Struthio camelus: one gene and its partner. The main gene of each other region encodes a partner of the protein of the gene in region 2 in a complex. Links are inferred from orthologs where the notes say so. Each region holds a gene or a part of one and is shown on either strand. Other genes may lie near its edges. The genes, in order: DKC1 and WRAP53.

The links.
Region 1: WRAP53 (region 2) and DKC1 share a complex: the UniProt entries of both Homo sapiens proteins name them as parts of the telomerase holoenzyme complex. The link is inferred for Struthio camelus from reciprocal best matches to the Homo sapiens genes WRAP53 and DKC1.

The regions. Positions count from the first base shown.
Region 1 is NC_090952.1:25,978,624-25,989,139, forward strand, and holds the start of DKC1 (H/ACA ribonucleoprotein complex subunit DKC1), read right to left. Parts: upstream 4,617-10,516; 5' UTR 4,504-4,616; coding exon 4,488-4,503; intron 4,313-4,487; coding exon 4,251-4,312; intron 3,902-4,250; coding exon 3,815-3,901; intron 3,223-3,814; coding exon 3,131-3,222; intron 2,533-3,130; coding exon 2,348-2,532; intron 1,830-2,347; coding exon 1,765-1,829; intron 1,663-1,764; exon of another isoform or gene 1,416-1,662; intron 1,175-1,415; coding exon 1,048-1,174; intron 845-1,047; exon of another isoform or gene 769-844; intron 679-768; coding exon 548-678; intron 383-547; exon of another isoform or gene 248-382; intron 1-247. Other genes in the region: 40-kDa huntingtin-associated protein-like, read right to left, coding at 5,410-6,459; probable G-protein coupled receptor 34, read right to left, coding at 9,275-10,291.
Region 2 is NW_027182724.1:70,993-82,281, forward strand, and holds the start of WRAP53 (telomerase Cajal body protein 1), read right to left. Parts: upstream 4,256-11,289; 5' UTR 4,221-4,255; coding exon 4,199-4,220; intron 3,878-4,198; coding exon 3,814-3,877; intron 2,972-3,813; coding exon 2,873-2,971; intron 2,266-2,872; coding exon 2,157-2,265; intron 1,431-2,156; coding exon 1,342-1,430; intron 183-1,341; coding exon 92-182; intron 1-91. Other genes in the region: uncharacterized protein, read right to left, coding at 5,912-6,021, 8,155-8,293. UniProt on the Homo sapiens protein: RNA chaperone that plays a key role in telomere maintenance and RNA localization to Cajal bodies. Specifically recognizes and binds the Cajal body box (CAB box) present in both small Cajal body RNAs (scaRNAs) and telomerase RNA template component (TERC).

The DNA of each region.
Region 1 (10,516 bases), on a different chromosome or scaffold from region 2:
AGGAGCACTTGCACTCTGATACTCCTGCTCTACAGGGAGAGAAACTGGTCCTGGAGTTCAGACTGGCAGCGGGATGCAGCTATGTCCACACTGAAAAGCCTACGCAAGTGTTCAGGATCATTGAAGGCTGGCATCCCCTGAGCTCATTTCAATGGAAGCACGTGCCTTGCACTGTGCCACACGACACCAAGTGGTTGTAGATAGCTAAGCAGATAGCTCACACTCCTGAACTCATGGCACATGCATGGCTTGTAGGCTGAGAAACACAGGTGGCATAGGAAAACTTCCAGTCACCATGGTGCACTTCCCAGCCACTCACTGTCCCAAAGTTTAATTACCAGAACAGGGGCAACCACCCTGAACTGAACTCAACACTTTGGTTCAGGCATCTATAGCAAAAGCTCCCACGTTTTGGGGGCTGTTCACAAACGTAACTTCTCCCAGGCACCACGCACCTATACCTTCTTCTAATGCTGTAAGAGCAACAAAGTTCTGGGGAACTCTCACAATTCCAAAATTGCTGGTTTATAAGTAGTCGCCACTCTACCTTCTCTCCCAGAATCCCTGAGCGCACTCTCCGGAGCTCTTGCATCTGGCCTCCAACACCCAGCAGCAAGCCAAGGTGAACACAGAGTGTTCGGATGTATGTGCCTGCTTCACAGCTCACCCAGAAGATACCTGAAACACAGGCCAGGCCAAGGGAAGAGCACTTAAACATATATCTAGAAATAAACCATGTCTAGAAGCTTTGTGTTTAGCCTCTCACAGAGCCATCAGCATTGGGTGATAGATGAAAGTCATCTTTGCACAGAGTGCTAATGCCATCTAGCTGACATCATTTGGCTCTTCAGTGGAGGACTCAGCTCTACTGACATATAAATGAGATTTGCTTCTCAGCGCACAGAACCAAGGCAAGAAGCAGCTACTGCTTGATCGTGGCAAGAATTTAACAGTCTTATGACATCTGCAAAGAATAGAAAGCAGCCCAATTCACAGGGAATTTATCAGCTGGTGGTTGAAAAGAGAGAAGACAGAGTGGTATTTTACCTAATCTTCTCTCAGGGTCATACTCCACTAGCTTGCTCTCATAGATGGTTCTGACTCTCAGTTGTCGCTTCACAGCAGCAATGAGGGGCGGTCGCTGAAACAGTGCGCCTGTCAGAGTTTCTATTGCCTGAGGGCAGAAGTAGAAGTAACAGGTCACACTTCTTCCATTAGCACATGTAATATAAAAATGCCTTGAGGTCTCCAGGCATTTGGACCACTTCCATGAGTGAGAACCCACAAGGTTCATCATCATCTGGCTACTTCACATTTTAAAAAGCCAAAATGAACCAGAGATGTGGTCAAAATACTGCCCCAGCTGTCAGTGAGGCATAGCTGGGCTTTTTTTTTTTAAAATCAGGTGGCAGTAGGTGATCAGACATCATCCCTCATCTTGGTGGGGACGGAGCCCCCACAGACAAGGGCTCCGACCCTGCCAGCACACCTCACTCCTGCAGGCAGTCAGCCACAGGCCCCAGCAGCCCCCAGTAGGACACTGGGAGACTGCAGGGTCTCTGGAGGCTGCACAGCACCCAGATCCTAGAACAGGAATCAGGGTGCTGCAGGAGGGCAGTGCCACTGCACTCAGAGAATGGATAAACTTCGTCATCACCTCACATACAAAACACACCTGAGTTCCATTCCTGCCGTCATCTCCCAGGGACGCTGAATGCTTTGCACTTCAAGCATCAGCATGGCTAACAGCGTGCAGAGACTTACCCTGGCCAGCTGGGCCTCACTTTCAATTGCATTGTGCAGCCGAACAATTCCCACATACTCTTTGCCTAAAAGGACGACAAGAGCAGTCAGGAGTGGCCACTTGCATTTAATGTTGACCTCAAGGTGCACACTGCTACATAGTGAAACATCTAGACAGCCCAACAGGTATCTTCACAACCACCTTTCCTAGACAGCACAAGCAATATGTTATGCAGTTGCTTATTCTTCCAACAGAAGAAAAAAAATCTAAGTTGCAGGCGTGTTTCTTCACCAAGTGTTGTTTGATTGAACTTGTAGACTGAGGCCACCTATAGCCATGAGTCCAGTTAACATACGAAACCAGTCACTCAGAAATGTTTTCCTTGACCTAAAACAGCATAAGACCCTGACAGGGAAAAACGATCAAAACACTTGCAATGGTATTGACATGGCCTCACTATAAACAACCCTCAAATTTAAGTCACTCAAGGTGAAGAGTAGCCCTTTTTGTAGGCAGGAATGGTAATCTCCAGCTTGTCTTCAGAAGAACTCTGCACTTCCCCAGTCACTTAGACTGTAAACAGTCCCAGGGTAGTAAACATACCTGCACTCTGCTGAGATTTGACCAGTCGTGTCGCCCTCTCAATGCACACAATCAGGCACCCAGTCACCTTAGGATCCAGAGTGCCACTATGTCCAGTCTTCTCCACTCGAAGGATGCGTCGGATCCATGCAACCACCTCGTGCGAAGATGGATTGGAAGGTTTGTCGAGGTTAATAAAGCCTGACCTAAAGTGCAAGATGACAGAGATCAGAAATTAAGCATCAGGGCAAACAGAGCAAGCAAAGAACCATTGATGACTTGTCACGTCTTCAAAAGAAAATATATTTCTAAATAAAGAGCCAAATAAGAGCCTACGACCACAGTTGCTCCCACTGAGACCACAAGGAGTTACTCTGCCCACAGCTCTTCCGAAAGGCAGGTCGTGTATTTCAAGATCAAGCAATTTTCATCTCTTCAGACGGCTGATCACTACTGAGTGCTTAAACTCAATCAAAATACTGCACACAAACTCCAAGCAGTCTCCACAACTGGCAGGCTGAAGGACTTTCCATAAGACCCCATTTGCACGCCTGCTGGCAGGCCAGCTGCTAACCCGGAACAAAGCAAACTTCACAAGAAGCGACCAGTGGGTCTATTTCCAGATTTACCGTTTAACAGCAAGGTACAAAGGCAAGTAGAAAGGTACACGAGGAACCTCAAAACACAAAACATCAGACAAAAGCGGTCACTGCCACTTATTTTCAGCTATCACCTTCACAAAATTACCTGAAGATATTAGCTCTGAAAGAAAGATATAAACACTCTTGCAGTTATTACACTCACCTAACGTAGTCAGAGATCTCTCTCTTCAGCGGATTAGCACCAGAAGGAAGGGGTGTGTAGTGTGCTGTCAACACATTTAACTTGTCAAAGTTCTACAAAATCCAAGCAAAAGTAAAACCATAAGTAGAACACTCTCGAGCTCGCTGTACTTCAGTTTCAACAGAGCTTTGCCCGAATGCGTTCCGCAATTACACGTTGTCTGATTAGTGTGTACGTAACTGGGACCACCTCTTCCAAAGTTAAAATGACCTAGGAATGCAATTGCAGAGTTGTTTTTTTTTTTGGAAAGAGAAGGGAAAAAAACCCTCCACAGGAAAAGATGTCAAAGTAGCAGAATGAAAAGCTTTAAAAACCAAAATAAAACCAGCATGCCTCAGCACCTCTGTACAAAGAGCTCAGGAGTTTACGTAGGCCATAGGCCACTCTCAGACCAAAATAAAGAATAGCTGAAAGAATCCTGTGCGGTCTTTACAAGAGACTAGAAACTTCAAGAGTAGTATGCAAACAATAAGGCTGGTCAAATTTTATAGCATGACTTCTGCAGGCAGTGGCTTAGCCTCTGCTTTGAGGGTCACATAAGCTGTTTTTTAGAGCAGACTACAAAACACCGAGGAGGAGCGTTGCATCTGTACGTGCACGCTTTGAGAAAGAGATCAAAAGAAAAAGCCCATTGACCCGCGCTACCTTCAACAGCAGCGGCCACTGCGACGTGTCCAGCTGGGCCACGCGGGACTCGGGTTTGATGAAGAACTCCTCCGTGTGCTGAATATCCTGAAAACGGACGAAAGGACACAAAATCAGAGAGCTGGGGCCGTGCTTCCGCCCGGCCACCGCGTGCCGCCTGCCGGGGCTACTCGCCCAGACCGAACAACGCCCGCTCTCTATTCGGTAATTTCTGCTTTAAAACGCTTTAACCGGTGCCGGGGACCGAGGGGTCACCGGGGCCGTGCCGAGGGGGGGCGGGAAGAGGCGGACACAGCGCGGGGCGCGACACCGGGGCCTCCCCGCGCCCGCCCCATCCCCCCCCGGCGGGCCCGACCCGGCCCGAGCAGGCCCCGGGGCACGGCGAGACGGGCCCAGCCGTGCCGGGGAGGGCAGCGGGCCGGCGGCGAGGGCTCACCGCGACGTCCGCGTCGGGGAGCGGCCGCTTCTCCTTCTTGCGCCGTTTCTTCACGCCGGAGCCTGCGGGAGACACGCGGTCAGCACCCCGCCACACCGGACCGGGCCGCGCGGGGCGGGGGCGGGCCGGGCCGCGCGGAGCCACGGCCTCTAGTTCCCCCCCGCCCCCGCACCGCCTCCGTCCTCCGCACAGCACCGGAGCCGCCGGGCGGCACGGGGCGGCCCCGCCAATACGCACCGTCCCCGTCCGCCATGGCCGCGCCGCGTGCTGCCGCCGCCGCGCAGAGACCGGAAGGACCGCCCCTTCCCGACGTGCCCCGCGCGGGCCAGCCGCGGGGGGCGGGGCCACGCAGCGAGGAGGGGGCAATAGAAAAGGGGCGGGGCTGTAGAGGAGGGGGCGGGGCAAGGGGAGCCACCACCCCCGGTAGCCGAGGGGCCGCCGCGCGTGGCCGCACCCGAAGGAAGAAGAGGCTGGAGGCCCGGAAAATAAAGTGCATAAAGAGGTCGTTTACTGTAATGCGAAGGGCAGGTCCGTGCCCTGGGCTCCCACAGGGCACCGCTTCCACCGGCTCACGCCGGCCCCGGCGGGGCGCACGGCCCCCCAGCGCGCTGCGGGCTGCACAGCGGCCAGCTCGGGGCCCCCACTGCCGCCGCCCCCCGCCCGGGGCTGTCGCACGCTGAGCCGGCTTCGCCCCGAGCGAGGGCAACAGGAACGGTCCCCGCAGAGGCTTTCGGCGACGAACACAGCTGCTCGGGGACCGTCGCGCAGGGCACGCTCCGGCCGGCCGGGAAAGGCGCCGGGGCCGCGGCTGCCCACGCCGACCGCGTCCTCCGCGCCCGCGGCAGCGCAGCGTCCCGGCGGGGCGTCCTGCAGCGCCAGAGGGTCCCGAGGCGAAACGCCCCGCGGTCGCGCAGCAAGAAGGACCCGCGTCCACGCGGCGCCGGGCCGAGCGGGCTGCGGCGGCCGCACAAGCGGGCCGAGCGGCGCCGGCTGCTGACGGGCTCCCCGCGCAGACCGGGCTCGCCGCAAGCAGCGTCTTCCCGCGGCCCACGCGCTCGCGGCGGCGCCCAGCGCCACGCCGGGACGGGCCTCCTCCGCGGCCGCACCGGGGCCGAGGCAGCAGGCACAAGGCCCCCGGGCGGCCGGGCCGGGCCCGGCCTCAGAGCCCCTGGCCCGAGGGGCTGGTCATCTCCTGCAGCACCAGGTGCAGCAGGTGGTTCTGCTCGGCGCTGAGCAGCGGCCAGAGCTCGGCCTGCAGCGCCTTGAGCGCCTCCAGGTCCTTCTCCTGGCAGGCCAGCACGGCCGACTGCAGCAGCAGGAAGAGCTCGGCCGGCAGGTAGCCCGCCGCCGCCGGCTGCCCGCCGCCCGGCCCGCTCTCCAGGGCCTCCCAGCAGTACTGCTCCAGCGTGCGCGCGTGCTCGGGCGGCAGCTTGGCCGGCGGCGGCTGCAGCAGCAGCAGCAGCAGCACCCGCGACACCTCGCAGCGCGCCAGCGCCTCGCGGAAGGCGCCGCCGCCGCCGCCCGCCCGCGCCAGCGCCTGCGCCCGCGTCAGCGCCGCCAGCGCGCCCGCGTAGTCGCGGCCCAGCAGCAGGCACGACGCCAGCTCGCCCAGGCAGCGCAGCGCCTCCAGCGGCAGCCGCGCCGCCGCCAGCAGCTCGGCGGCCCGCTGCAGGGCCGCGGCGGCGCGCGCCGGCCGGCCCGTGTCGCGCAGCGCCGCCGCCAGCTCCAGGCAGAGCCCGGCCGCCAGCGCCGGCTGCCCCCGCTCCAGGTGCAGGCGGGCGGCGAAGGCGCCGCAGCTCTGCGCCGCCGCCGCGTGCTCGCCGAAGCCGCCGCGCAGCGCCAGCCGCTGCCGCAGGTCCCGCTCCTGCCGCAGGAAGAGCCGCGCCGCCTCGGCCAGCGCCGCCGCCTCGGCCGGCCCGTGGAAGAGGCTCTGCGCGCAGCGCGCCACGGCCAGCTGGCACCAGGCCGCGTAGGGCAGGCTCTCCTGGGCGCGCAGCTCCCGCGCCAGCGCCGCGAACTGCTCCGCCGCCTCCGCCACGTTCGGCTTCCGCAGGAACCGCCGCCGCAGCTTGGCCGACACCAGCCGGTACCGCGACAGGAAGTCCCCGTCCCCCCCGCCGCCGCCGCCGCCGCCGCCGGGGCCCGGCCCGCCCGCCGAGCCGCCGCCGCCCGCCCCGCCGGGGCCCGCGCCGCCCGCCGCCGCCAGCATCGCCGCCACCGCCCGCGACCGACGCCGCGCCGCCCGCCGCGGCCAATGGGCGCCGGCTGCCGGGGCGCGTGGCCGGCGCGGCGGGGCCAATGGGCGCCGGCTCCCCGGGGCACGTGGCCGGCGCGGCGGGGCCAATGGGCGCCGGCTCCCCGGGGCACGTGGCCGGCGCGGCGGGGCCAATGGGCGCCGGCTCCCCGGGGCACGTGGCCGGCGCGGCGGGGCCAATGGGCGCCGGCTTCCTGGGGCACGTGGGCGGTGCGGCGGGGCCAACGGGCGCCGGCTTCCTGGCGCACCGCGGGAGGCGGTGGAGTAGGGGCGGGGCGGGGCGGGGGGGGCGGGGCGGGGCCGGCGGGGCGGGGCGGGGCGGGGCCCCGCCCTCGCCACGCCCTCGCCACGCCCTCGCCACGCCTTCGCGGGGCGGGGTCCGGCCAATCCTCCTGCTCCTGCTCCTGGCGACGGGTCCCCAGGGGGGACACGGGGCTGCGGCTGCGCTGTGCGGACCTGCTGGTCTCGCCCGTGTTGCTGTGGCTCCTCCTGCACCACCGGAGCCTCCGTTTCGTTGCGCTCACCTTCGCTCACATCACGGTGTCGCCTTCAGTTTGTCCTGATTCAGTCCCGTGCCAGTGTCGGCCGAAAAGCCTTCGTCTGTTTGCGGAGGTTGGACAGGGCCGTGGGGCGCGATGGAGGCCCCAAGGCCTGGCGGGCCGGGCGACGTGGTGCTGGGGCGGCTGCGCCGAAGCTCAGTCCCCTGGCCAGGACGCGGGGGCTGGACCTGCCGCCTCGGTGCTGGGCGGAAGGAGCCGGTCCACCCCGCTTCCCGCACGGAGGGAGCCGTCGGGAGCGCAGTGCGGGGCGAGCAGGCCTGCAGCCGCTGACCGCTGTGCGCTGAGCTGCTTGCCTTGACCGTAAAGGAAACAGGATATGGTACAGGGCACCGGCTTCCGAGAAGTGAGCATCAGCCCCTTCGGCCCTGCGGCTTTCTCTTGTAGAGCCGGAAACTTCCACGTGCTTTGCTGCCAACCCTCCCACCGCTGCCTGCCCCCGAGACCCACCACGAGCATCACAAGTCCCCATCTGCTCTCACCCTCACCGCACGCTGCTCCCCCCTGTGCAGGTACCACACACCCCTCTGATCCCAGGCGCCGCATGCGGGCCAGGTCCAGCGCTGGGCTGAGGTGAGGTCCCGCTCTCTGTGCTACTCTTAGTTTCCTCTGGCAGGAAGATGTCAAGAGACTCCACTTCATGAGGGGGAAACTTGACTGCAAGAGCTCACGGGGTTTCCTTCAAGCTGCATAGCGCACAGGTGCTCCGGTGTTGCGATGTTGAGACTTCTGAACCGCACGTTGTTTTTGCTTTGACTCTTGTTAGCGCTGATCAGAAGAGAACTGCTTTGTAACCTTTTCTTGCAGCTTTCCACAGGAAGAGCTTGGCTTTCGGCATTTCCCCCCACCCCCACTAAAAGGAAACATACCCCTCTCCCTTGCTCTTGGTGTGTTTATTAGCACTGATAACAGAAGGCAGCAAGTGTGTCTTCCCCTGAGCTTCAGGTGCTCCTTTGTAACAGAGCTAAAGTGAGATTCAGGGGTTGCTCCAGCCTCAACTGGAAAGATCAGAGAATTCAATCTTTAACAAAACATTTTATTCTCACAAGTATTCCTCAGGTGTTTGAATTAAGTAATTAATAAAGCAGTTCACAGTCTGAATGAAAATCCTCCCCAATGCTAATCGCCCAGGCTTTGCTTGCCAGGTGTGTGAATCAGTGTGTTTCTCCAAGCCTGCAGTCTTCTAAAAATAAGTGAACAGATGAGATGTGAGCATATGAAAGGGGGGGAAAAACCCCAACCAGGGAAATATCCTCTTCTTTGGGAAGAGGATGGGCAATGAAGAATAGTAAAGGCCAAAAACTTCCTTTTGAGTCAGTGCATAGTAACGGTGCTTGAGCTGGGGACATCAAAGTCAGCATCTCATTCTTGAGATTGAACATTGCTGGAGCAATGTTCCTGGCACGGTCCAAGCCAGAAACAAGTGCTGTGCAATGGTCAGGCGAGGAAGCTGCCAGTCCCATGTGAACATGCCAGTGAAATGGGCAAAGGAAAACAGCTAAAAGCAGCCCACAGTTGCCTGTTTGAATACACAGAAAAGTGAGGCTGACGCTGTGCTACAGGGACTGAGGTAAAAACAAGAGAAAAAAAGTGCCTGTTGTTTTAGTTTGAAGTTACAGGGGTTATAATGCTTGCCTGTTATCCAAGCCCGGCATTGCGTATCTCTGCACTCCATCATGGAGCCAAACATTCTTCTGCTCCCCAGTAATGCCCCAATGAGCTTTTCCCTCCCCCTTTCCCAATTCTTCTGCACTTCATCTTCTTTTCCCATTTCATGCTTTCTATAGTGTGGAGGTAGACAAGATCCACAGCAGATTCCCATTCCTGTTCTGCCCCTCACTACTTCTCCTCCCATCGAAGGAGCCTTTCTCTGTCCTGGGCCCTGTCCCTCCCCTTCCCTACGCTGGGTGGAGGTCCTAGGCCAAGGCTGTTTCTTCTGTGGCACACCCAGCCTTCATTCTTCCTAGGAAATAAGCTCTTCAGCTGTGTGAGCAGAGCTGGCATGGAAAACAGTAAGGCCTCAGCTATTCTTTTCTTCTTCATTTACCCCCATGGGTAGCACTAGCCCTGATGGTGCCAGTGGAGGAAACATGAAATGGTTCCAGTTTCTTCCTCTGTCTTCCTGGCAAGTCTCATTTGGTAAATACCAGCAGTCAGAGCAAATCCTTGACGAGATCATCCCATGCCTGAGACCTTGGTACCCACTGGAAGGCCTAGACTTCAGTCACAGACCTGCTGTAGCTCAGTCCTCCCTGGTTCCTTAGAAGAGCTCTCTTCAGCCTGCCCTGGATGGTGCAGAGCACAGCCCTCCGGAAGCTGCTAGACAGGGAAAAGAAGATCACTGGGTCAAGGCAGCTGTTGAGGGCTGAGATGCAGAGCACAAGCTCATTAGCGAGATGGAGACCCTGCTTCCAGGGCAGACTAGAAATGACCCCCACTTGCGCGAGGACATAAGGAATACGGACAATGTGATAGGGGGTGAAGCATACAATGAAGATGATGAGGACAACGAAGGTCTTGGTGATGGCTTTCATGCTAGTCCTCTTGTTCAGCTGCTGAGCATTCACTGAAGAGACTCTGTGGAGCCTGGCAAATATCTTGCTGTAGGAGTAAAGGAAGAGCAGTAGCAGGATAAAGAAAGTGGCTACTGCAACCATGTTAAAGGCTGCTGCCACAGTGCTTTTGCTCCTGAAGTGGAAGCATTTATGGTCACAGGGCCCTTTTCCTTTTGTCTCAAAAAAGAAAGGTAGCATGAAAGCTGAATGCACCAACCAAACCACCCCAGAGGCCATGGTGCTACAGGACATGGTGTGAATCTTAAACTTCTGGAGGGGCCGGATGATCTTCAGATAGCGGTCCAGGCTGATCAGGCTGAGGAACGTGATGCTGACGTACATGTTGAGATAGAAGAAGGCCCCGACAATGTTGCAGAAGATCCGGGGCTCACTCTTGTTTTGATAAGCTATGCGGAAGGGCAGGCAGAGGGAGAGCAACAGGTCGGACAGAGCCAGGTTCCTCATGTACACGGTGATGGAGGTCTTCCGCTGCACGCTGCACGAGAACACCCAGAGTGCAAGGGTGTTGCTAACCAGGCCAATGACGAAGATAAGGGAGTACATCACAGGGAGTGTCACAGACAGGAACTCATCTTGGATCTGACAGCAGGAATTGCTTCGTCTGTACTCCGTGACCTCGCTAGCAGGAAAGGGAGTGCTTAAAGAGTCCATCATCTAGAGGCTAGGACCTGTAAAGAGAAGTGCAGAGGGTGTTAGAACTGACATTTGCACAAACTGGCTCCACACAAGCATCATTCTCCTTATGATTTTATGGTATTTATGAAAGAGATGGCTCCATGGTACCTGAGTGCCCCAAGTCACTACAAACACAACCTTGCAGTCCTGCAAACTTTTATACAAAAGCCACCAGTGTGGCTAGTATGCAGAAAACCACACTGA
Region 2 (11,289 bases):
CCCCCTCACCAGGTGGTTGTAGGCGCGGAAGGAGCCCCCCCGCCGCCCCCCCGGACGCCTGGGCCCCCCGGACGCCTGGGCCCCCCCTCACCAGGTGGTTGTAGGCGCGGAAGGAGCCGCGCAGGCTCCCGTCGAAGGCGTCCCAGAGGTGCACGGGGTTGTCCCGGCTGCTGCTGGCCACCCTGCGCCCCAGTGCTCCCAGTAAGCCCCAGTGACCCCCCCCCCAGTACTCCCAGTAACTCCCAGTGCCCCCCCAGGGCTCCCAGTTCCCCCTTCCCCAGGGCTCCCCGTAACTCCCAGTGCTCCCCCAAGGCTCCCAGTTACCCCCCCCCAGTGCCCTCCTCAGGGCTGCCAGTATGGCCAGTGCTCCCAGTAACCCCCACCAGTGCCCTCCCCAGTGCTCCCAGTGACCCCCAATGACTCTCCCAGTACTCCCAGTAACTCCAGCGCTCCCAGTAACCTCCCTAGTACTCCCAATGGCCCCCCAGTGCTCCCACTAACCACCAGTGGGCTCCCCCAGTGCCCCCAGTGCTCCCAGTGACCCCCGCACTCCCCACGCCACCCCCCCCAGTGCTCCCAGTGCCCCCGCAGGGCTCCCAGTAACTACCAGAGACCCCCCAGTGCTTCCAGTAACTATCAGTGGGCTTCCCCAGTGCTCCCAGTGACCCCCCAGTGAGCCTCCCAGTGCTCCCAGTAACTCCAGTGCTCCCAGCAACCTCCCCAGTGCTCCCCGTAACTACCAGTGGGCTCCCCCAGTGCTCCCAGTGCCCCCCGCACTCCCCACGCCACCCCACCCAGTGCTCCCAGTGACCCCCCAGGGCTCCCAGTAACCACCAGTGGGCTCCCCCAGTGCTCCCAGTGCCCCCCACACTCCCCACGCCACCCCACCCAGTGCTCCCAGTGCCCCCCCAGGGCTCCCAGTAACTACCAGTGCCCCCCCAGGGCTCCCAGTAACTACCAGTGGGCTTCCCCAGTGCTCCCAGTGCCCCCCGCACTCCCCACGCCACCCCACCCAGGGCTCCCAGTGCCCCCCCAGGGCTCCCAGTAACTACCAGTGCCCGCCCAGGGCTCCCAGTAACTACCAGTGGGCTCCCCCAGTGCTCCCAGTGCCCCCCGCACTCCCCACGCCACCCCACCCAGTGCTCCCAGTGACCCCCCAGGGCTCCCAGTAACTACCAGTGCCCCCCCAGGGCTCCCAGTAACCACCAGTGGGCTCCCCCAGTGCTCCCAGTGCCCCCCGCACTCCCCACGCCACCCCCACCAGTGCTTCCAGTGCCCCCCCAGGGCTCCCAGTAACCACCAGTGGGCTCCCCCAGTGCTCCCAGTGCCCCCAGTGCTCACAGGCAGGAGGGGGGCCGGGCCGAGCTCATCCCCGGCAGCCAGCAGTAGTCGTAGACGGTGTCGCCCTCCGGCACCCGCAGCGCCGGCACCTGCGCCCGGACGCCTGGGTCCCTCGCCCGGCCCCCCCCCCCCCCACGGCCCCCAGGGACCCCCCAGAGGCCCACGGGACCCCCCCAAACAACCCCCGGGACCCCAAAACACCCCCCAAACACCCCAGAGACCCCCCAACACCCCTGTGACCCTCCCCAGACACCCCCGGGACCCCCCAAACATCCCCCAAATACCCCAGAGACGCCCAAATACCCCCAGGACCCCCCCCAAACACCCCCCAAACACCCCAGAGACCCCCCCCAACACCCCTGTGACCCCCCCAGACACCCCCAGGACCCCCCAAACATCCCCCAAATACCCCAGAGACCCCCAAATACCCCCAGGACCCCCCAAACACACCCCAAACACCCCCAAACACCCCCAGGACCCCCCAAACATCCCCCAAATACCCCCCAAATACCCCCTTGGACTCCCCCCAAACGCCTTGGGACCCCCCCCCAACGCCCCAGACCCCCAAATACCTCCTGGGACCCCCCCAAACACCCCAGAGACCCCCCCAACACCCCTGGGACCCCCCCCAACACCCCAGACCCCCCCAAATACCCCAAAATACCCCCCCAACACCCCTGGGACCCCCCCCACATCCTTGGGACCCCCCCAAACACCCCTAAATACCCCCTGGGCCCCCCCCGTTGCCCCCAGGACCCCCCAGAGTCCCCCCCAAGGACCCACAAAGACCCCCCGGACCCCCCCCGGACGGGTACCAGTTCGGGCAGGGCCCCCCCCGGGCCCCCCCCCAGGGCGGGCGGCAGGTCGTAGATGCGCAGGGTGTTGTCGTTGCTGCACGTCAGCAGGCAGGAGCCGTCGGGGGCCCTGCGGGGCCCAGGCGTCCGGGCGGGCTCGCGGCACCCCTCCAGCTCCCCCCCACAACCCCCAGGGGCCCAGGCGTCCGGGCGGGCTCGCAGCACCCCTCCAGCCCCCCCCCACAACCCCCAGGGGCCCAGGCGTCCGGGCGGGCTCGCGGCACCCCTCCAGCCCCCCCCCACACCCCCCAGGGGCCCAGGCGTCCGGGCGGGCTCGCGGCACCCCTCCAGCCCCCCCCACACCCCCCAGGGGCCCAGGCGTCCGGGCGGGCTCGCGGCACCCCTCCACCCCCCCCCAGGGGCCCAGGCGTCCGGGCGGGCTCGGGGAACCTCTCCAGCCCCCCCCACACCCCCCAGGGGCCCAGGTGTCCGGGAGGGCTCCCTCCAGCCCCCCCACACCCCCCAGGGGCCCAGGCGTCCGGGAGGGCTCTCTCCAGCCCCCCCACACCCCCCAGGGGCCCAGGCGTCCGGGAGGGCTCTCTCCAGCCCCCCCACACCCCCCAGGGGCCCAGGCGTCCGGGCGGGCTCGGGGAACCCCTCCAGCCCCCACGAGGGGCCCAGGCGTCCCCGGCCGCGCCCCCCCCCGCCCCCACGAGGGGCCCAGGCGTCCGGCTCACCACTTGCAGCCCTTGAGGAAGTTCTCGGGCCGGCGGCCGTACTCCTGCCGCGCCTCCGCCACCAGCCGCGGCGGGCGCTGCAGCTCCGCGGGGGGCGGCCTGCGGGGCCCAGGCGTCCGGGACCCCCCCAACACCGAGGGCCCAGGTGTCCGGGACCCCCCTCAACCATCCCCGGGGGCCCAGGCGTCCGGGACCCCACACACACACCCTCAGGGGGCCCAGGCGTCCGGGACCCCCCCCACACACACACAACCTCAGGGGGCCCAGGCGTCCGGGACCCCCCCCTACACCGAGGGGCCAGGTGTCCGGGACCCCCCTCAACCCTCCCCGGGGGCCCAGGCGTCCGGGACCCCCCCCCCACACGCACCCCCAGGGGGCCCAGGCGTCCGGGACCCCCCCCCACACGCACCCCCAGGGGGCCCAGGCGTCCGGGACCCCCCCACACACACACCCTCAGGGGGCCCAGGCGTCCGGGACCCCACCCACACACACACCCCCAGGGGGCCCAGGCGTCCGGGACCCCCCCCACACACACCCTCAGGGGGCCCAGGCGTCCGGGACCCCCCCCCCCACACACCCTCAGGGGGCCCAGGCGTCCGGGACCCCCCCCACACACACACCCTCAGGGGGCCCAGGCGTCCGGGACCCCCCCCCCCACACACACCCTCAGGGGGCCCAGGCGTCCGGGACCCCACCCACACACACACCCCCAGGGGGCCCAGGCGTCCGGGACCCCCCCCACACACACCCTCAGGGGGCCCAGGCGTCCGGGACCCCCCCCCCCACACCCCCAGGGGGCCCAGGCGTCCGGGACCCCACCCACACACACACCCCCAGGGGGCCCAGGCGTCCGGGACCCCCCCCCCACACACACAGGGGGCCCAGGTGTCCGGGACCCCCTCACACCCCCCCCAGGGGGCCCAGGCGTCCGGGGCACTCACAGCTCCTCCTCGGGCTCCTGGGGCTCCGCGGGGCCCCCCCCCTCGGCGGGGGGGTTGTCGGAGGCTGCGGGGGGGGGGGTCAGTATGGCTACGGGCCCAGGCGTCCGGGAACCCCCCCTCTCCCCCACCGAGGGCCCAGGCGTCCGGGACCCCCCCCCCTCCACCGAGGGCCCAGGCGTCCGGGACCCCCCGCCTCCACCGGGGGCCCAGGCGTCCGGGACCCCCTCACACCCTCCCCAGGGGGCCCAGGCGTCCGGGACCCCCCCCCTCCACCGGGGGCCCAGGCGTCCGGGACCCCCCTCCCCCCCACCGAGGGCCCAGGCGTCCGGGACCCCCCTCCCCCCCACCAGGGGCCCAGGAGTCCGGAATCCCCCCCCACACACACCTTCCTCCATGGGGGCCGCCATGACAGCCGAGGCCCCGCCCCTCCCGGCAGGCACCGCGCGCGAATCTCGCGAGAGCGGAGCGGCCTCGGGCGCGTTTATTGGCTGAGAATCTCGCGAGACGTCGCGCCCCCTCCCCCCCTCGCCCCGCCGCGCGGCTCGATGACGTCACGCGCCGGCGCTCGCGAGAGTTTCGGCGAAGTCTCGCGAGGTTTCGTTGCTTGGCTGCAGCTTGGTGCGGGGTTGGGGGGGGCCCAGGCGTCCGGGGAGTGACGCCCCCCCCACCCACCCACACAGACAACAGGGGGGCCCAGGCGTCCGGGGAGCGACCCCCCCCCCACCCACCCACACAGACAACAGGGGGGCCCAGGCGTCCGGGGAGCGACCCCCCCCCCACCCACCCACACAGACAACAGGGGGGCCCAGGCGTCCGGGGGGCTCAGGCGTCCGGGGAGTGACCCCCCCCACCCACCCACACAGACAACGGAGGGGCCCAGGTGTCCGGGGGGCCCAGGCGTCCGGGGAGCGACCCCCCCCCCACCAATACACACAGACAATGGGGGGGCCCAGGCGTCCGGGGAGTGACGCCCCCCCCCACCCACCCACACAGACAACGGGGGGCCCAGGCGTCCGGGGGGCCCAGGCGTCCGGGGAGCGATCCCCCCCCCACAGACAACAGGGGGGCCCAGGCGTCCGGGGGGCCCAGGCGTCCAGGGAGCGACCCCCCCCTACAGACAACAGGGGGGCCCAGGCGTCCGGGGGGCCCAGGCGTCCAGGGAGCGACCCCCCCCCACAGACAACAGGGGGGCCCAGGCGTTCGGGGGGCCCAGGCGTCCGGGGAGCGACTCCCCCCCCACCCACCCCCACAGACAACAGGGGGGCCCAGGTGTCCGGGGGGCCCAGGCGTCCGGGGAGCGACACCCCCCCCAACCCCCACACACAGGCAATGGGGGGCCCAGGCGTCCGGGTGGGGGAAGATGGTGGAGCAGTGATGGGGGGTCGCCATGGTGCCCGGACGCCAGGGCCCCTCGTTGCTGCCCGGACGCCGGGGCCCCTCATGCCCGGACGCTGGGACCCCTCATTCCCCGGACGCCGGGGCCCCTGTGCTGCCCGGACGCCGGGGCCCCTCGTGGCCGGACGCTGGGGCCCTTGTGCTGCCCGGACGCCGGGGCCCCTGTGCTGCCCGGACGCCGGGGCCCGTCGTGGCCGGACGCCGGGGCCCCTGTGCTGCCCGGACGCCGGGGCCCGTCGTGGCCGGACGCCGGGGCCCCTGTGCTGCCCGGACGCCGGGGCCCGTCGTGGCCGGACGCCGGGGCCCCTGTGCTGCCCGGACGCCGGGGCCCCTCGTGGCCGGACGCCGGGGCCCTATGCTGCCCGGACGCCGGGGCCCCTGTGCTGCCCGGACGCCGGGGCCCCTCATGCCCGGATGCCGGGACCCCTCATTCCCCGGACGCCGGGGCCCCTCGTGGCCGGACGCCGGGGCCCCTGTGCTGCCCGGACGCCGGGGCCCCTCGTGGCCGGACGCCGGGGCCCTGTGCTGCCCGGACGCCGGGGCCCCTCGTGGCTGGACGCCGGGGCCCCTGTGCTGCCCGGACGCCGGGGCCCTGTGCTGCCCGGACGCCGGGGCCCCTCGTGGCTGGACGCCGGGGCCCCTGTGCTGCCCGGACGCCGGGGCCCCTGTGCTGCCCGGACGCCGGGGCCCCGGGCCGCCGGCGCTAGAGGCGGACGATGCCCAGGAAGGTGCCGTGGGCGCTGAGGTCGAAGGAGGCGTTGGCCCGCGGCACCCGCAGGCGCAGGCGGTCGCCGCTGCGCAGCCGGAACACGCCTGCAACACGCCACGCACACGCCACGCCACGCACACGCCACGCGCACGCCATGCGCACGCCACGCGCACGCCATGCACACGCCACGCGCACGCCACGCACACGCCACGCACACGCCACGCACACGCCACGCACACGCCACGCGCACGCCACGCACATGCCACGCACACACCACGCGCACGCCACGCACACGCCATGCACACGCCACGCGCACGCCACGCACACGCCATGCACACGCCACGCGCACGCCACGCGCACACCACGTGCACGCCACGCACACGCCACGCGCACGCCACGCACACGCCATGCACACGCCACGCGCACGCCACGCGCACACCACGCACACGCCACGCACACGCCACGCGCACGCCACGCACACGCCATGCACACGCCACGCGCACGCCACGCGCACACCACGTGCACGCCACGCACACACCACGCGCACGCCACGCGCACACCACGCGCACGCCACGCACACGCCACGCACACACCACGCGCACGCCACGCACACACCACGCACACGCCACGCGCACGCCACGCGCACGCCACGCCACGCCACGCACACACCACGCACACGCCATGCACACGCCACGCACACGCCATGCACACGCCACGCGCACGCCACGCACACGCCACGCACACGCCACGCACACGCCATTTGCACGCCACGCACACGCCACGCACACGCCACACACACGCCATGCACACGCCATTCGCACGCCACGCACACGCCACGCACACGCCACGCGCACGCCACGCACACGCCACGCGCACGCCATGCACACGCCACGCACACGCCACGCACACGCCACGCACACGCCATGCACACGCCACGCGCACGCCATGCACACGCCACACACACGCCATTCGCACGCCACGCACACGCCACGCACACGCCATGCACACGCCACGCGCACGCCACGCACACGCCACGCACACGCCACGCGCACGCCATGCACACGCCACGCGCACGCCATGCACACACCACGTGCACGCCACGCACACGCCACGCACACGCCACGCACACGCCACGCGCACGCCACGTGCACGCCACGCGCACGCCACGCCACGCCATGCACACGCCACGCGCACGCCACGCACACGCCACGCACACGCCATGCACACGCCACGCGCACGCCACGTGCATGCCACGCGCACGCCACGCACACGCCATGCACACGCCATGCACACGCCACGCACACGCCACGCACACGCCACGCGCACACCACGCACACGCCACGCGCACGCCACGCACACGCCACGCACACGCCACGCGCACACCACGCACACGCCATGCACACGCCACGCACACGCCATGCACACGCCATGCACACGCCACGCACATGCCATGCACACGCCACGCGCACGCCATGCACACGCCACGCGCACGCCACATGCACGCCACGCGCACGCCATGCACACGCCACGCCATGCCACATGCACACCACGCGCACGCCATGCACACGCCATGCGCACGCCATGCACACGCCACAGGGACACGGGGGAGACATAGGACGGGGGGGGGGACACATGGTTAGGGGTGATCTCTGCCCCCTCCCCAGTGCCCCCCAGTGCTCCCAGTGCTCCCAGTGCCCCCAGCCCCCCCAGTGCCCCCAGTGCCCTCCAGCCCCCCCAGCCCCCCCAGTCCCCCCAGTGCTCCCAGTGCTCCCAGCGCCCCCCCAGTCCCCCCCAGTTCCCCCCAGTTTCCCCAGTGCCCCCAGTCCCCCCAGTGCCCCCAACCCCCCCCAGCCCCCCCAGTGCTCCCAGTGCTCCCAGCGCCCCCCCAGTCCCCCCCAGTTCCCCCCAGTTTCCCCAGTGCCCCCAGTCCCCCCAGCCCCCCCAACCCCCCCAACCCCCCCAGTGCTCCCAGTCCCCCCAGTGCCCCCCATCCCCCCATCCCCCCATCCCCCCCAGCCCCACCATCGCCCCCAGCCCCCCCAGTGCCCCCCAGTGCCCCCATCCCCCCCAGTGCCCCCCAGTGCCCCCATCCCCCCCATTGCCCCCCAGTGCTCCCAGTCCCCCCCAGCCCCCCCAGTGCTCCCAGTCCCCCCCAGTCCCCCCCAGCCCCCCCAGTGCTCCCAGTCCCTCCCAGTCCCCCCCAGTGCCCCCCAGTGCCCCCCGCGCCGGGGGGGTACCGGCGGTGTAGCAGGAGGCCTGGGCGCGGGGGGGGGCGGCCATGCTGCGCACGCAGCGGAGCAGCGCCTGGGGGGGCCCCGGGCGGCCGCCCCGCTCCAGCACCTGCCCCATGGCGAAGGTGGCGTCCGTGAACAGCACCTGCCCCCCCGGGCCCCCCCGCGTCAGGGCGGCACACGCGTGTGCACACGCACGCACACGCACGCACACGCACGCACGCGCACGCACACGCACGCACACGCATGCACACGCCTGCACCCGCTCCAGCACCTGCCCCATGGCGAAGGTGGCGTCCGTGAAGAGCACCTGCCCCCCCGGGCCCCCCCGCGTCAGGGCGGCACACGCGTGTGCACACGCTCGCACACGCCCGCACACGCACACACACGCATGCACAGACATGCACACGCCTGCACCTGCCCCATGGCGAAGGTGGCGTCCGTGAAGAGCACCTGCCCCCCCGGGCCCCCCCGCGTCAGGGCGGCACACGCGTGTGCACACGCACGCACACGCACGCACACGCCTGCACACGCACGCACACGCACGCACACGCACGCACACGCATGCACACGCCTGCACCTGCCCCATGGCGAAGGTGGCGTCCGTGAAGAGCACCTGCCCCCCCGGGCCCCCCCGCGCGTCAGGGCCGGCACATGCGTGTGCACACGCACGCACACGCCTGCACACGCACGCACACGCCCGCACACGCCTGCACCCGCTCCAGCACCTGCCCCATGGCGAAGGTGGCGTCCGTGAACAGCACCTGCCCCCCCGGCCCCCCCGCGTCAGGGCGGCACACGCGTGTGCACACGCACGCACACGCACGCACACGCACGCACACGCCTGCACACGCACGCACACGCACGCACACGCCTGCACCCGCTCCAGCACCTGCCCCATGGCGAAGGTGGCGTCCGTGAACAGCACCTGCCCCCCCGGGCCCCCCCGCGCGTCAGGGCCGGCACATGCGTGTGCACACGCACGCACACGCCTGCACACGCACGCACACGCCCGCACACGCCTGCACCCGCTCCAGCACCTGCCCCATGGCGAAGGTGGCGTCCGTGAACAGCACCTGCCCCCCGGCCCCCCCGCGCGTCAGGGCGGCACACGCGTGTGCACACGCACGCACACGCCTGCACACGCACGCACACGCACGCACACGCCTGCACCCGCCTGCACACGCACGCACACGCCTGCACACGCCTGCACCCGCTCCAGCACCTGCCCCATGGCGAAGGTGGCGTCCGTGAACAGCACCTGCCCCCCCGGGCCCCCCCGCGCGTCAGGGCGGCACACGCGTGTGCACACGCACGCACACGCCTGCACACGCACGCACACGCACGCACACGCCTGCACCCGCCTGCACACGCACGCACACGCCTGCACACGCACGCACACGCACGCACACACACGCACACGCATGCACACGCCTGCACACGCCTGCACCCGCTCCAGCACCCGCCCCATGGCGAAGGTGGCGTCCGTGAACAGCACCTGCCCCCCCGGGCCCCCCCGCGTCAGGGCGGCACACGCGTGTGCACACGCACGCACACGCACGCACACGCACGCACATGCACGCACACGCACGCACACGCATGCACACGCCTGCACCCGCTCCAGCACCTGCCCCATGGCGAAGGTGGCGTCCGTGAACAGCACCTGCCCCCCGGGCCCCCCCGCGTCAGGGCGGCACACGCGTGTGCACACGCACGCACACGCACGCACACGCCTGCACACGCCTGCACACGCATGCACACGCCTGCACCCGCTCCAGCACCTGCCCCATGGCGAAGGTGGCGTCCGTGAACAGCACCTGCCCCCCCGGGCCCCCCCCGCGTCAGGGCGGCACACACGTGTGCACACGCACGCACACGCATGCACACGCCCGCACACGCACGCACACGCCCCATGGCGAAGGTGGCGTCCGTGAAGAGCACCTGCCCCCCCGGGCCCCCCCGCGTCAGGGCGGCACACGCGTGTGCACACGCACGCACATGCATGCAATGGTCTGCACACGCATGCACCCGCCTGCACAGACATGCACATGCCTGCACCCGCCTGCGTACACACGCACCTGCCTGCACACGCCTGCGCACACATGCACACGCATGCACCCGCCCGCACAGACATGCGCACGCCTGCACACGCCTGCACATACATGCACACACCTGCACACACCTGCACACACCTGCACACACATGCACACACATGCACCCACCTGCACACGCCTGCACACGCCTGCACATACATGCACACACCTGCACACACATGCACACGCCTGCACACGCCTGCACATACATGCACACACCTGCACACACCTGCACACACATGCACACACATGCACCCCCCTGCACACATGCACACGCCTGCACACACATGCACACACATGCACCTGCCTGCACACACAAGCACCTGCCTGCGCACACATGCACATGCCTGCACACACCTGCACACATATGCACATGCCTGCACCCACGTACACACACATGCACACGCCTGCACACACACGCACACACATGCACACACCTGCCCACACCTGCACACACACGCACACACATGCACACACCTGCCCACACCTGCACACACATGCACATGCATGCACCTGCCTGCACCCGCCTGCACACACATGCACACACCTGCACACACGTGCACACGCCTGCACACACGCACACACACGCACCCGCCTCCACACACGTGCACCCGCCTGCACACACGTGCACACGCCTGCACACACCTGCACACACGCACACACACACACCCGCCTGCACACACGTGCACACGCCTGCACACACCTGCACACACGCACACACACGCACCCGCCTCCACACACGTGCACCCGCCTGCACACACGTGCACACGCCTGCACACACCTGCACACACGCACACACACACACCCGCCTGCACACACGTGCACACGCCTGCACACACCTGCACACACGCACACACACGCACCCGCCTCCACACACGTGCACCCGCCTGCACACACGTGCACACGCCTGCACACACCTGCACACACGCACACACACACACCCGCCTGCACACACGTGCACACGCCTGCACACACCTGCACACACGCACACACACGCACCCGCCTCCACACACGTGCACCCGCCTGCACACACCTGCACACACGCACA